Linked DNA regions of Drosophila melanogaster. The gene in region 1 interacts genetically with each later gene. Each region holds a gene or a part of one and is shown on either strand. Other genes may lie near its edges.

Region 1 (3,756 bases):
ATTTGAGTCTCGCTGTTGGCCCAGTTCCAGAAGCAAACCCATTGAAAGCAAAAGTTTCAGAAACACCACCGCTCCTCACGTGACTTACCTGCCGTAGAGCTAATCCTGAGATTGATTCCTGAGACCGATTGCGATCGAAATAGAATCAGCAAAAGCCTGAGTGGGTTGCTAAAAGGATACTATGTATATAACGAGAAACATCAACAGAAAAAAAAATATAAACGCAACGAAAACAAAATTGGCGTGGAAGCAAGCTGCTTGCGGATGTGCAGATATACAGATATGCGGATATGCGGATGCCGATATTATGTGAACTTGCGAATTCAGCGCGACTTGCACTTTGCGCGAGCGATTTACGGTACTCAGTTTGCAGTTTGCAATTCGCAATTGGCGATGAGCTGCCACACGACGTTTGCTCAGTGCGACGCTGAACAGCAAACTGCAGTTCCGCCGTTTCGGGCTGGCTTTCGATCGTTCCCGAACCCTGCCCAACCGGCCTTCGTGTTCGGCCGAGTGCAGATCCTCAGCTGCCTTCGCCTTGGCCGTGAGCTTCACGAAGCCTCAGTCTGACTGACAGACTGCAGCCGAAAAAGCGAGGAGTGGCGGGTAGCGGACAAGTGGGGAAGTGGGGAAGTGGGGAAGTGTGGAAGTGTAGAAGTGGAACAATGCAGCGCAGAGTCCAGGGGTGGAGAAGCTGAAACGGGGCTGAAAGAGGCGACTGAGGCTACTGTGCTGCCCTGCTTCCTGCAGTGCATCTGTATCTGTAACAGTATATGTGTCTGTATCTGTATATGTATATGTAGCTGCATCTGTATCTGTATCTGTATCCGTACACTCTGTGCGTCTTTGTGTGCCTTTGTATGCAGATGCACCGAAATTTTTGGACAGTTCGAAGGGAGGGGTCTAGGCCCGGTCCGTCCGCTTTTGTGACTCTTCATCAAAGTGCTAATGAGGAGAGCCGAGCCCAAAGGCAGAGAGGGAGAGAGCAGGCAGCTGCATCGGATGACTCAAATGTCCTTCTTATGGATCGGGCCACGAATCCGAATCAAATTTCAGTGTGTATCTGTACCTGCAACCGTGTGTGAGAATATGGATGTGTGTGTGTGTGTATGTCGATATAGATCTGGATGCTAGGCTCCCTCTGCCCCTAGATCAAGGAGCTTCCAGCACGTTCGGTTTGCCCTACAAAGCAAAGCGGATGGGGTCGGATGGGATGTAGGAAACCCTTACCTGGATGGTGCGGTTGTAGTTGCGCTCAGTAGGTGCATCCTTGCTCATGGCGGCGCTTCATTGGGTCGACTACTTGGGGATGCACACTGATTATTCACTTGAACTTTTGGGGCTTTGGGTTTTTGGGGTTGGCTTTCGCTTTTTCCGCTCCTGATTCTGCGATTCAGTGATTTAGCTATTCTTGGATTCTTAGATTCTTTTGATTCAAAACGCGCGCGAATCGCGCACTAGATGGTTTGCGTCCTTTGGTCTTTGCTTGGGTGCACTTGACAAAAAACACAAAAAAATAGAACAGAGGGAATTGTCCAGTCCTCGTGTGTGTGTTGGATACTGCTGTGGTGCGTTGGTGCGGTGGTGCGAGGGTAGGCGTGGGGTGGGCACTAATGCTATTCAATTCGGGCTCAAACTTAGAAATGGAAATTGAAATTGTGCGTTTAGGCTGAACTAACTTTAGTAACTGAACCGATCGAATTAAAAAGCTCAACTGAGTTCCGAAAAAATGCAGTTAAATGTGTTGGGCTTGTGCCGCTGCCCTCTGCCAGTGTGCGTGTGTATTGGTGTGTGCGCGAGTGTGTGCGTCTGCCCAATTGAATCAGAGAATTCGCTGTGCACCAGTGTTTGTGATATATATGTGTGTGTGTGTATATACTTATGCCGCCTGTATGTTTCATTCGCTTTTTTCGCTTCTTGCTTTTTACTTTTTACTTTTTGCCTTATTTGCTCGCTTTTTTGTTATATACTTCTCGTGTGCGATTGTGTGTTTCCTTCGCTTTTTTGGAGTGCAGCGACGTCGACGGCGGCGGCAGCGGCAGCAGTGCGATCTGCGATCTGCGATCTGCGTTCTGCGATCAACTCGATCCGATCGCTGCAGTTTACAGCGCTGCCTGCAGCGCAGTCGCCAAAAAAACGAGCAAATTTTCTGCGCATGCGACGGCGGCGAAGCCGAGCAAGCGAAAATTGCGTTTTTTTCGGGGGTTCCATGTGTGTGGTTGTGGTTTTTTTATTATTTTTTTTTCTGCTGTCCGTATATTCTGTTGTGTTTTCTGGTATTGCCCATTTAGAAGTTTTGTTTATTCATTGTCAGGCCGACAAAATTGGGGGAAATGAAATGCAAAGTCGTCGGCGAGCGAACGAATCAACGAGCGCCGCCCACACACCGATGCAATTACAAACGCGAATGTTTGGGGCAGATCCGCAGATCGGCAGCGGCAAATTGTAAATAGAGTGATATGGAGCGAGAGGGGTAAGGGGAATGGGAACGGGTAGGGGAATATGCAACTTTCCCCCTATGTAACTCCAAAGATACAGAAAGCGGTACATACGCACACAAAGTCGGCGGCGATCGGAGCGTTTTTTTTTTTAGGCAGAATATCGTCGTGCGTCTTCGGCTCGGAATTGCCCGATTTCACGACCCGCCTGTACCCCCTTCCCACCATACCCCCACAGAGGGTTCCAATTGAAAGTGTAGCCCACATTTCGAGCCCCATCCCAAACGCAAACCCAAATCCAAAGTCGGCCTGTTTTTAGGGCCTTCCCCTGCCTTCCCTCCCTTGCGTCACCCTTTGGAATTGCATTTTCTGCTGATGTTGGTGAAGAGTTGTTTAATATTTTGGTTACCATTACCATTACCATTACCGCATTTTATTACATGGCTCCCCTGTTTGCCATAACCCAGATTCCCATTTCCCTGCTCCCCCGCCCCACCTCCTGGCACGCACAAAGACTTAAGACCGAAGACTGCAGAGCGAAGATTTGCTGGCCCTGAGGAGAAACTGAGCGACTGAGTCTGAGAAACTTGTTGCCACTTGCATCTTGTTTGCCAGTTTTTTTTTTTGTCCGAATTTAATTGTTTTTGCAGCGTTTTTATTTTACTGCTGCATCCCCTTGTTGTTGTCGCCGATATTTTTATGAGCTGTTTTTGGTTTTTTTATTTTTTAGATTCATGCGTGGCGATTTTGGTTTTTTAATTCTGCTGGTCTCGCACTCACGTTAGCATTTTTCAAGAATTGTCTTGAGTGTTGTTTTGTTAAGGTTTCCCTGTCTGCAGTGACCTCTTGCCGATTCATAAACGTATAAATGTATCTACACGTACCATATACACAACATTACCTACGTACCCATAATGCCTTTATTGCTGCGTCTCGTTCGGTTTATGGTTGTTTCAAGATCATCGCAAATGTCACCGAGTCACAGATTAGCCAGAAAGAGGCGAGTCGCGCGGGCAGGGACCACTGTAGTCGCTCTAAGCTCCGCTCCTTTGTTGGGTCTCCGGTTTCGGGTTGGGTGCTTTGCAATTACAACCGGCATTAACCTCTAGGCGGCGCAAACGGAGTCGCAGGCAGCCAACAACCTCGACAACAACCTGACGGCGTAGACGCCGACGTCGAAGGCAGAAGGCAGAAAACAGCGACTGCGAAGGCGAAATGATCACATTGAACTTGTCGATGTCGTTTGTTCTAATTGAAACTGCAGTGGGTTAGTCACCCGCAGTCACTCGCTCCCGCTCACGCACTGGCCATCTCCATC
Region 2 (3,756 bases), about 10 Mb from region 1:
CGCCTGGGCAATGGCATCGTGCTGGGGCGGCACCGTCGCCGCTTCTGCTGCCACTGCTGCAGCAGCAGCCAGCATATTGTTGTTTCTCGAGCGTCGTATCAGCTGGGAGACAATCGGATAGTTGGCAGCGGCACCTCCGGTTAAGGAGGAGTCACTGCGACGAAAGCAGCCATCGATCTTAACCCGCTCGTAATGACGCGTGGCCTCCGCTCGCGTGGAAGCCCTAGCCAAGCGGACGGTAAAGCAGCGCCGATCCATGCGTAGTCGGTCATCAATGGTCGCCAAATGGGCCATTCTCCGCGGGCTGGGTGTTCGTCGGTTGTACGGGTGATCCTCGTCATCGTCCGCCTCTCCCTGCTGCCGACCCAGACGGTGTTCCTCCGTCTCCATTTCCTCCTCCTCCAGATCACTGCCCGAAGTTGAGGCCGACGTGGAAGTGGAGTGCTGCTGGGGATTGTGCCCCTGCTGCTGGTGGTGCTGATGCTGATAGAACAGGGTCTCTATATCCCTGGGTATTAGCTGCTGTCTTAACAGATCCTGATCATCGGGATGCGTGATCTGCAGTAGATTCTGGCCATACAAATCGGACTGACAGTGACCCAATAGCTGCTCCACGCTGGTGGATACCAAAACGATTTGGCCACTGCAGGTTAGGGTGAGGAAGCAGCAGTCCAGCAGTTGCATTAGAGTGTCCGTTAGATGCAGACTGGGATTGGGTAGATCTCCGACAGGTGAGGCAGACATACCCGTTCCCTTGAGGCCGGTTTTCTTGCGACGTCTGGAAGCGGACTTGCCAAAGACATACTGAAGTCTCAGGCCATGGGTGGCGAATCTAAGGACGGCGGTTTTGTCCAGGCGACGGGAGGATTCGGCTGCATGTGGTACCATGGTGGCCAGCTCCTGGATGCTGGCATTAAGCTTATCCCGTCGCTGTTTTTCGGCAAGGTTACGGGCCTCCCGTCCATTCGCTGGATCTGAGGAGCTCCCACTTCCCGATCCCGATCCCGATCCCGATCCTGTCGAGCCAGCGGATCCTGTGGAGCCCGTGTTGCCCGTCTCTGGTGCTGCCATTTTGGACTTTTTGGGCGTTTTCTGGAGTTACTGCCTCCTTGTTTTCCACTTGTAATCCTCGATTTATGGATTTTCCCCTTTAATTGGCGCCTTGCGGTAAATGAAAATCGTCACTCTCCATAACAGGGTGTACGCTCCGCACTTCTAGAATTGTTATTATGGAAATTTTTCGGCTAAAATATATTTTTTATTACTTTTGCAGCTTTTAGTTTCTTATTTTTGGCTGTTGTCTTGTTTTTTTTGCTGCTTTTAAAGTTTTCAAGGTCTCGCTTATGCTGTGCTGTTGTTTTTGTTTTTGCTCGCCTCCCCTCTCTCGCTCACTCTCCTTCGCTCACTGACACACACACACACACGTCACTCTCACGCAACGTACATATGTTTTCTCTTTTCGCTTTCGTACTTTTCCACTTGCTTTTAGTCTTATTATTACTATTATTTGCTTCCCTATTTATTTATGCGTTTCGCCTTGTAGTTTTTTATTTTTCGTTTTTTTTTTACGTTTTGATTGCGTTGCGAATCTGAATCTCCTGCTTATTGTTGTTGCTGTTGCTGGTGGCGTTGTTGTTGTTGCGATTTAATGCCCGCAATAAGGAAATTCGGAGGGCGGCGGTCGTTTTAACAACGCACTTGCTGCTTGCACTTATTTTTGTTTATACTAAGTGATTAATTGTTTATTTGTAACATTTATTTTATAACAATAAACATTGGCCAGTCTAAAAACTATCGATACATCGATGTAACTGGTTGTCGTACTAAAATTCGCACGTTCACACCGGACAAAATATCAGAAAGATTCGAACATCTTGTTCGCTGTCGATAACATTGTTGTAATACATGTAATCTATCAGGTCTTTTTATAATTCTATTATAAATTATTTTTATTAATTCTTATTATAATACATAAGTCCACAGTAATAATGTAATAACTTTTGATGTTACAATAAATCCATAAATATTTTTGCTACAAAATTCGAATAATTTCGATAGCAGACGTCATGCAATTTTATTATCGATTAGCACGCTCGATAACTATTGGCGCTCTTTCTTGTTTACGGCATTTCATTTTCTGCTGAAATTGGCTGTTTTTTGAACGTTATTAACTGAGGAGTTATTATGGATGCCTTTGATCCACGCTCGATTATCAACGGCGGCATGCTGAAGCAGTTTTCCGGCCAAACCGTGAGCATAATGGTTCGCGTGGAGAGCGTCGCGGGATCCACTTTGCTGGCCAGTTCCACAGACAACCACAAGCTAAAGATCAATCTGCCGGGTGAGCTGGGCGCCGCCGAAGGGGCCTGGGTCGAGGTCATTGGAGTGCCCCATGGTGCGGACACCCTCAGGGCCAAGGAGGTGGGTGCACTCAATCCATGGAGTCATTTATTTCAATGATCCCAAACCATTTGCCCACTATTCATTTGCAGGTCATCGAGTTTGGCGGCGAGAACATCGACTTCGATAAGGATGGCTATAATGGATTGAGCCACCTGATTAACAATGTCAAGGCCTTCTATCGCAGCGGCTAGGATGTCCACAATTATATCTAAGAATTAATATTATGTACTCTAATGTTATTTTTTCCATTTTTTTGGAGAACACTCAGAGCTGGCATTAACTTTAAATATAAATCATCTATCTACATATATTACGAGTACAATTTACGGGTGTTTTAACCAGTTCCACGTATATTCTACAACAAATACTTAATACCCACAATTTAATAACATAAACAACACATTCTTAAACGCTCTTGTGTAATAACATTTACTTCCACAATTTGTTATTGTATATATGTTGGTATAAAAAGACTAACTAGCAGATAATCAATTCAACAGTTGAACAATTAACATAGGGCGAGCCAGCTGACGAGTGATGACCAGTTGCATGGACTCCAAGTCCGTATGCAACTTGAGGGTTATTGCAGCACAGCCGCATTGGCCACCACGCTAGGATTGTTGACCACCTCGCCGAGCGAATCGAGAACCTCCTTTCTGTAGTCATCGAACTCTCCAACAATCTCGTTGATCGTCTGATCCTCAATTACGTAGAGAGTGCAACCTGTTTCACGGATCAAACGCTCGTCGTGGGAGACGATGATCACGCCACCCTCGTACTCGTTGATTGCCTCCGCCAAGGCGTCGATACTCTCGATGTCCAGATTGTTCGTAGGCTCATCGAGAATTAGTACATCCGGCGCACTCAAGCATAGCTCAGCGAGGGCCACACGGGCTTTCTGACCACCGGACAGATCCTTCATCTTGATGGTGTGTGCATGACTGACCAAACCAAAGGAACCCAATGCCTTACGCGCCTTTTCGTGGGGCAGATTGAACAGACGCTGCAGGTACTCTGCAGCCGATTCCTCTGCCGTGAGATGTTCACCTGAGTGCTGATCGAAGCGGCCCACATGAAGTCGGTGATTCTTGCGCTGCTCACCCTCCTGCGGTTCCAATTCACCGAGCAGCAGCTTGAGGAAGGTTGATTTGCCCACACCATTGGGTCCCACGATGGCCACTCGACTAGTTAGATCAATGCCAAAGTCAACCTTGATGAACAGCGGTTTCTGGCTCGGAAAGGCGAAGGTGACATTGTGGACACCCAGAATGGGTGGCTGGAGCTGCGATGGCTCCGGGAAGCGGAACTTGACAATATATTCCTTGGGCCTGGCCAACAGCTCCTGAGGTCCCT
Region 3 (3,756 bases), about 11 Mb from region 1:
AACTTGGCCAATTATCGTCAACAGGTCGATATGAACCAGTGGAAACTAAGCAAATATCATATAGGCAATGTAGGTCTATAAATAAGCTATCTTTACCCATTATCATTAACGTTGAGAAAAAAGATATCTACAATGATATCATACATGAAATGCATTTATTATCAACTAATATAGTATTATATTAGTTTTTCTAACTGATTTAAGTGTTAATGATAGGAAGGTTTGGCATTTTTCAAAACCAATTGCATTCAAAACTCTCCGTGATTTTTTATGATATACTGGGACAGCAATTCGAACTTTATTGCTAAAGCGATAGCCATGTAAATATTTTTGCGTACTAAACAAAATGACCGAACAAAACAAAATAATTGAGTCCGGTAGTCATTAGTTTAGGGTTCAGTGATAAAGACTTCGATCCTGAGTCAGCTGCCCCCCATCGGAATTCGCTATACCGCCTGATTTCCATCATCGATTTGCATGCATAATCCATGGATATATGCATATGGACATACATATGTATATGCAAATACACATGAATGTTTGTGTATTTATGGATATAGCTCAACATTGACCGTGAAAACTCCGGTTGATGCAACAACAAACGCGACTCTTTGGATCAACTGCAATCGCAATTGCACTTCAGCTGAGCTAACTGTAGTTGTTGTGCACGTCCCTCTTCCGACCGCATAAACATGACCAATGAATGACGAATGCACACGCACACACTTGCACGCGCGCACAGTGGTCACATGTGAGCCGTGCGTTAAGTGCAGTCCAAGCTCCATTAGGGGTTAATGTGCCTTTAATCACCTGCTTAACCCATTGAACTTTTACTTTAACCAACCATATCACAGTGCTGTGATTTTGCTTTGAAGAGATTGGAAATGAGTGGGTGTGCCACCCTGACTGAAGTCTATAAAATAGCCAAGACAAGCTAGGTTTACGAATGGAACGAATGGTAAAAAATCAAGTAAGTTTGAGTATTTGTCGCACTAGTCCCGCTAGAAACTAATTCCGTTTAATCAACTATGGTTATCATAACTTGCGGTCCAATTTTTGTTAATTAAGTCAATTAATTCACTCAGGCAATTTGCATATTTTTGGACTCCAAAATTCAGGAATGTGTCCACTGTGCGGAGGCAGAAGCACACACACACACGCGTACAGGTGCTGCACACACACACACACACACACACATGCACGCGCTGTTAGAAAATGTGTGTGGGGGAACGGGAACAACACGACATTAGCAAAGCCAATAGCAACAACAACTGGTTTTTTACTTAGATTTTATTGTTTTTTGCTGGACTTGTACACTAAACTAAACCAAACACACACACACACTTACATAATTGTTCGTTTGTATTGCTATTGACTTGACGCACATTGCACATTTGTTGGTTTTTCCTCGCCAATTTCTTATTCGACTGTAATTCCCGCCAAGCAATTATTAATCGCAACTACCGAAATGCCGCGGATTTTGTTTAAATGCCGACGCGACGCACAGCTCGCTAACTCAAACAATAAAAAAGAAATGCATAATAAACAAAACAACAACAAAACTACACAAAATAAAATACAATTCAGCCAGTGTGACCGTAGGACTGTCATTAAAGAATCTCAAAACTATCGTCTAGCTGCCAATCAACTTAAAAAATATATAAACTCTTTAATGAACAAATTTTTTATTATAAACACGCTGCTTGTCACTAACAAGAAATATTGAACAGAATTGAATATTGAAATAGTTTTTCTTTAATCTTCGAGTGACCGTATATGAGTATGGTTGTAGAAATAATGCGGTCCCATTGAATATATTATTTAACGGAAATTGGGATTTCAAGTGTTTTATATTCAGTTTTTCAAACTTTAATTTAAGTTCACGCATCCCATCTATTTTTAATGAACCCGGTGAATTTAGCGATAATGACAATGAAATACTTTCTGTTTATAACAAAAACAATACTGTCTTCAGCGTTTATTTTATTGTATACTTATTGTTAGCGTCTCTCACCATTTTTGTTTTTGGTCAGTTGAAAACAAAAAAAAAAGTGAAAACATTATAAGAATATTAAATTAAGTGTATAGGGAATCATTCAATTTGCCTAACATCGTCACTATCCTTGCGCTGCGTTTGCCCTGCCACCGAAGCTGCTGCTCCCCACTGTCACTGTTGCTGCGGAAGTTTCTGCGGCAGTTGCAATTGTTGCGGCTGTTGAAGTTTCTGTTGCAGTTGCCTGCTGCTCCTTGACGGCCACAACGTCCTCCACCGCCTGGACTTGCTCCTGGATGTCCCGTCGTTCCTGCTGACGCACCAGCTCAAAGTACAGGCCCCGCTTGCCCATCAGTTCGTCATGTTTGCCGGTCTAAAACAAGGGAAAATATAAATATTTCTGAAGATACCAATGGTCTAGGACAACTCACCTCCACGACGCGTCCCTGATCAAGGACGACAATGAGGTCAGCGTTTCGTATCGTGGACAAGCGATGGGCAATCACCAGAGTGGTGCGATTCTGGACCACTGTATCGAGTGCCTTCTGCACTTCCGCCTCGCTGGTGGCGTCCAAGGCACTCGTCGCCTCGTCGAGGATGAGGATGCGCGGATTCTTGAGCAGCGCCCGTGCAATGGCGATGCGTTGCCGCTGACCGCCGCTCAACTGGGTGCCCCGTTCGCCCACATGCGTCGCATATCCATCGGGCAGGGCGGTCACAAAGTCGTGCGATTGTGATAGACGCGCTGCCGCATACACATCCTCCTCGCCCGCATCTGGTTTACCATATCGGATGTTCTCCAATATCGATGTGCCAAACAGCACCGGCTGCTGTTCGATGAAACCGAGGACATTGGACCGCAGCCAATAGGGCGATATGTCCGACAGCTTGTAGCCGTCCAGTTTGATATTGCCCGCCGATGGTTCGTAGAAGCGTTCCACCAGCGACGCTATCGTCGACTTGCCCGATCCACTGGCTCCCACCAGGGCCACCGTCTGGCCCGGGCGGAGCGTCAGGCTAAAGTCCTTGAGCACCAGCTGTGAATGAAGCAAAAATTGACATAGGAAGTTCATTACTGTTTGCATTGCCTAGACTCTAATCTTTTTATCACTTAGCCGTAAATATTGGCCATAAATGTTTGTGGGTATTATAAAATGGTTATCTACTTGCGGAAGCGATAAGAAGTTATTCAATATTATATAAAAAAGTGGCGAGTTTACAAATTACAGAGCATCGATTAATGTAAATATGCCATCATTGTCTCGAGAATGAAATGAAGATATACTTTAATACAACTCACATGATCGGGTTGCATGGGATATGCGAATGAGACGTTCTCGAATCGAATCTCGCCGTGCAGCCGCTCCTGCGGGATGATGTAGCCGCGCAGCAATTCCACCTGTGGCTGCAGCGATAGGAACTCGAAGACTCGACTGCCGGCCGACATGCCTCTGATCATGGTGCCCAGCAGGATGGATCCCTGGGCAAGGGATCGCTGCACACCCTGCGAAGCGACCAGGAAGGCCATCAGAGCACCCGGCGACAGACTCTCCGTAGACATGAGGTGGCCGCCCATAAAGAGCGTAGATAGGACTAGTGTATTGAGGAAGAAGTTGGTCAGGCCCTGGAAGATTGCGATGCCGTAGCCGAGTTTCTGCGCCAGGCGAGCCGCCTCATTGGTCTCCGCCTCGAACAGCTGCATCTCGCGGTATTCACAGGCACTGGATCTAACCGTTCGGATGTTGGACAGCGCCTCCTCGCAG

What was found.
Region 2: of br (region 1) and Met, changing one enhances a phenotype caused by changing the other (phenotypic enhancement), as found in Drosophila melanogaster (2 studies listed by BioGRID).
Region 3: of br (region 1) and LIMK1, changing one enhances a phenotype caused by changing the other (phenotypic enhancement), as found in Drosophila melanogaster (one study listed by BioGRID).

What each region holds. Positions count from the first base shown.
Region 1 is NC_004354.4:1,610,278-1,614,033, reverse strand, and holds the start of br (broad), read right to left. Parts: upstream 1,694-3,756; 5' UTR 1,231-1,693; intron 378-1,230; exon of another isoform or gene 89-377; intron 1-88.
Region 2 is NC_004354.4:11,614,183-11,617,938, reverse strand, and holds the start of Met (Methoprene-tolerant), read right to left. Parts: upstream 1,816-3,756; 5' UTR 1,072-1,815; coding exon 1-1,071. Other genes in the region: RPA3 (replication protein A3), read left to right, coding at 2,185-2,421, 2,493-2,594; CG1703 (uncharacterized protein), read right to left, coding at 2,984-3,756.
Region 3 is NC_004354.4:12,590,583-12,594,338, forward strand, and holds the start of LIMK1 (LIM domain kinase 1), read right to left. Parts: upstream 1,612-3,756; 5' UTR 1,349-1,611; intron 1-1,348. Other genes in the region: CG1824 (uncharacterized protein), read right to left, coding at 2,118-2,366, 2,425-3,030, 3,294-3,756. UniProt on the Drosophila melanogaster protein: Protein kinase which regulates actin filament dynamics. Phosphorylates and inactivates the actin binding/depolymerizing factor tsr/cofilin, thereby stabilizing the actin cytoskeleton.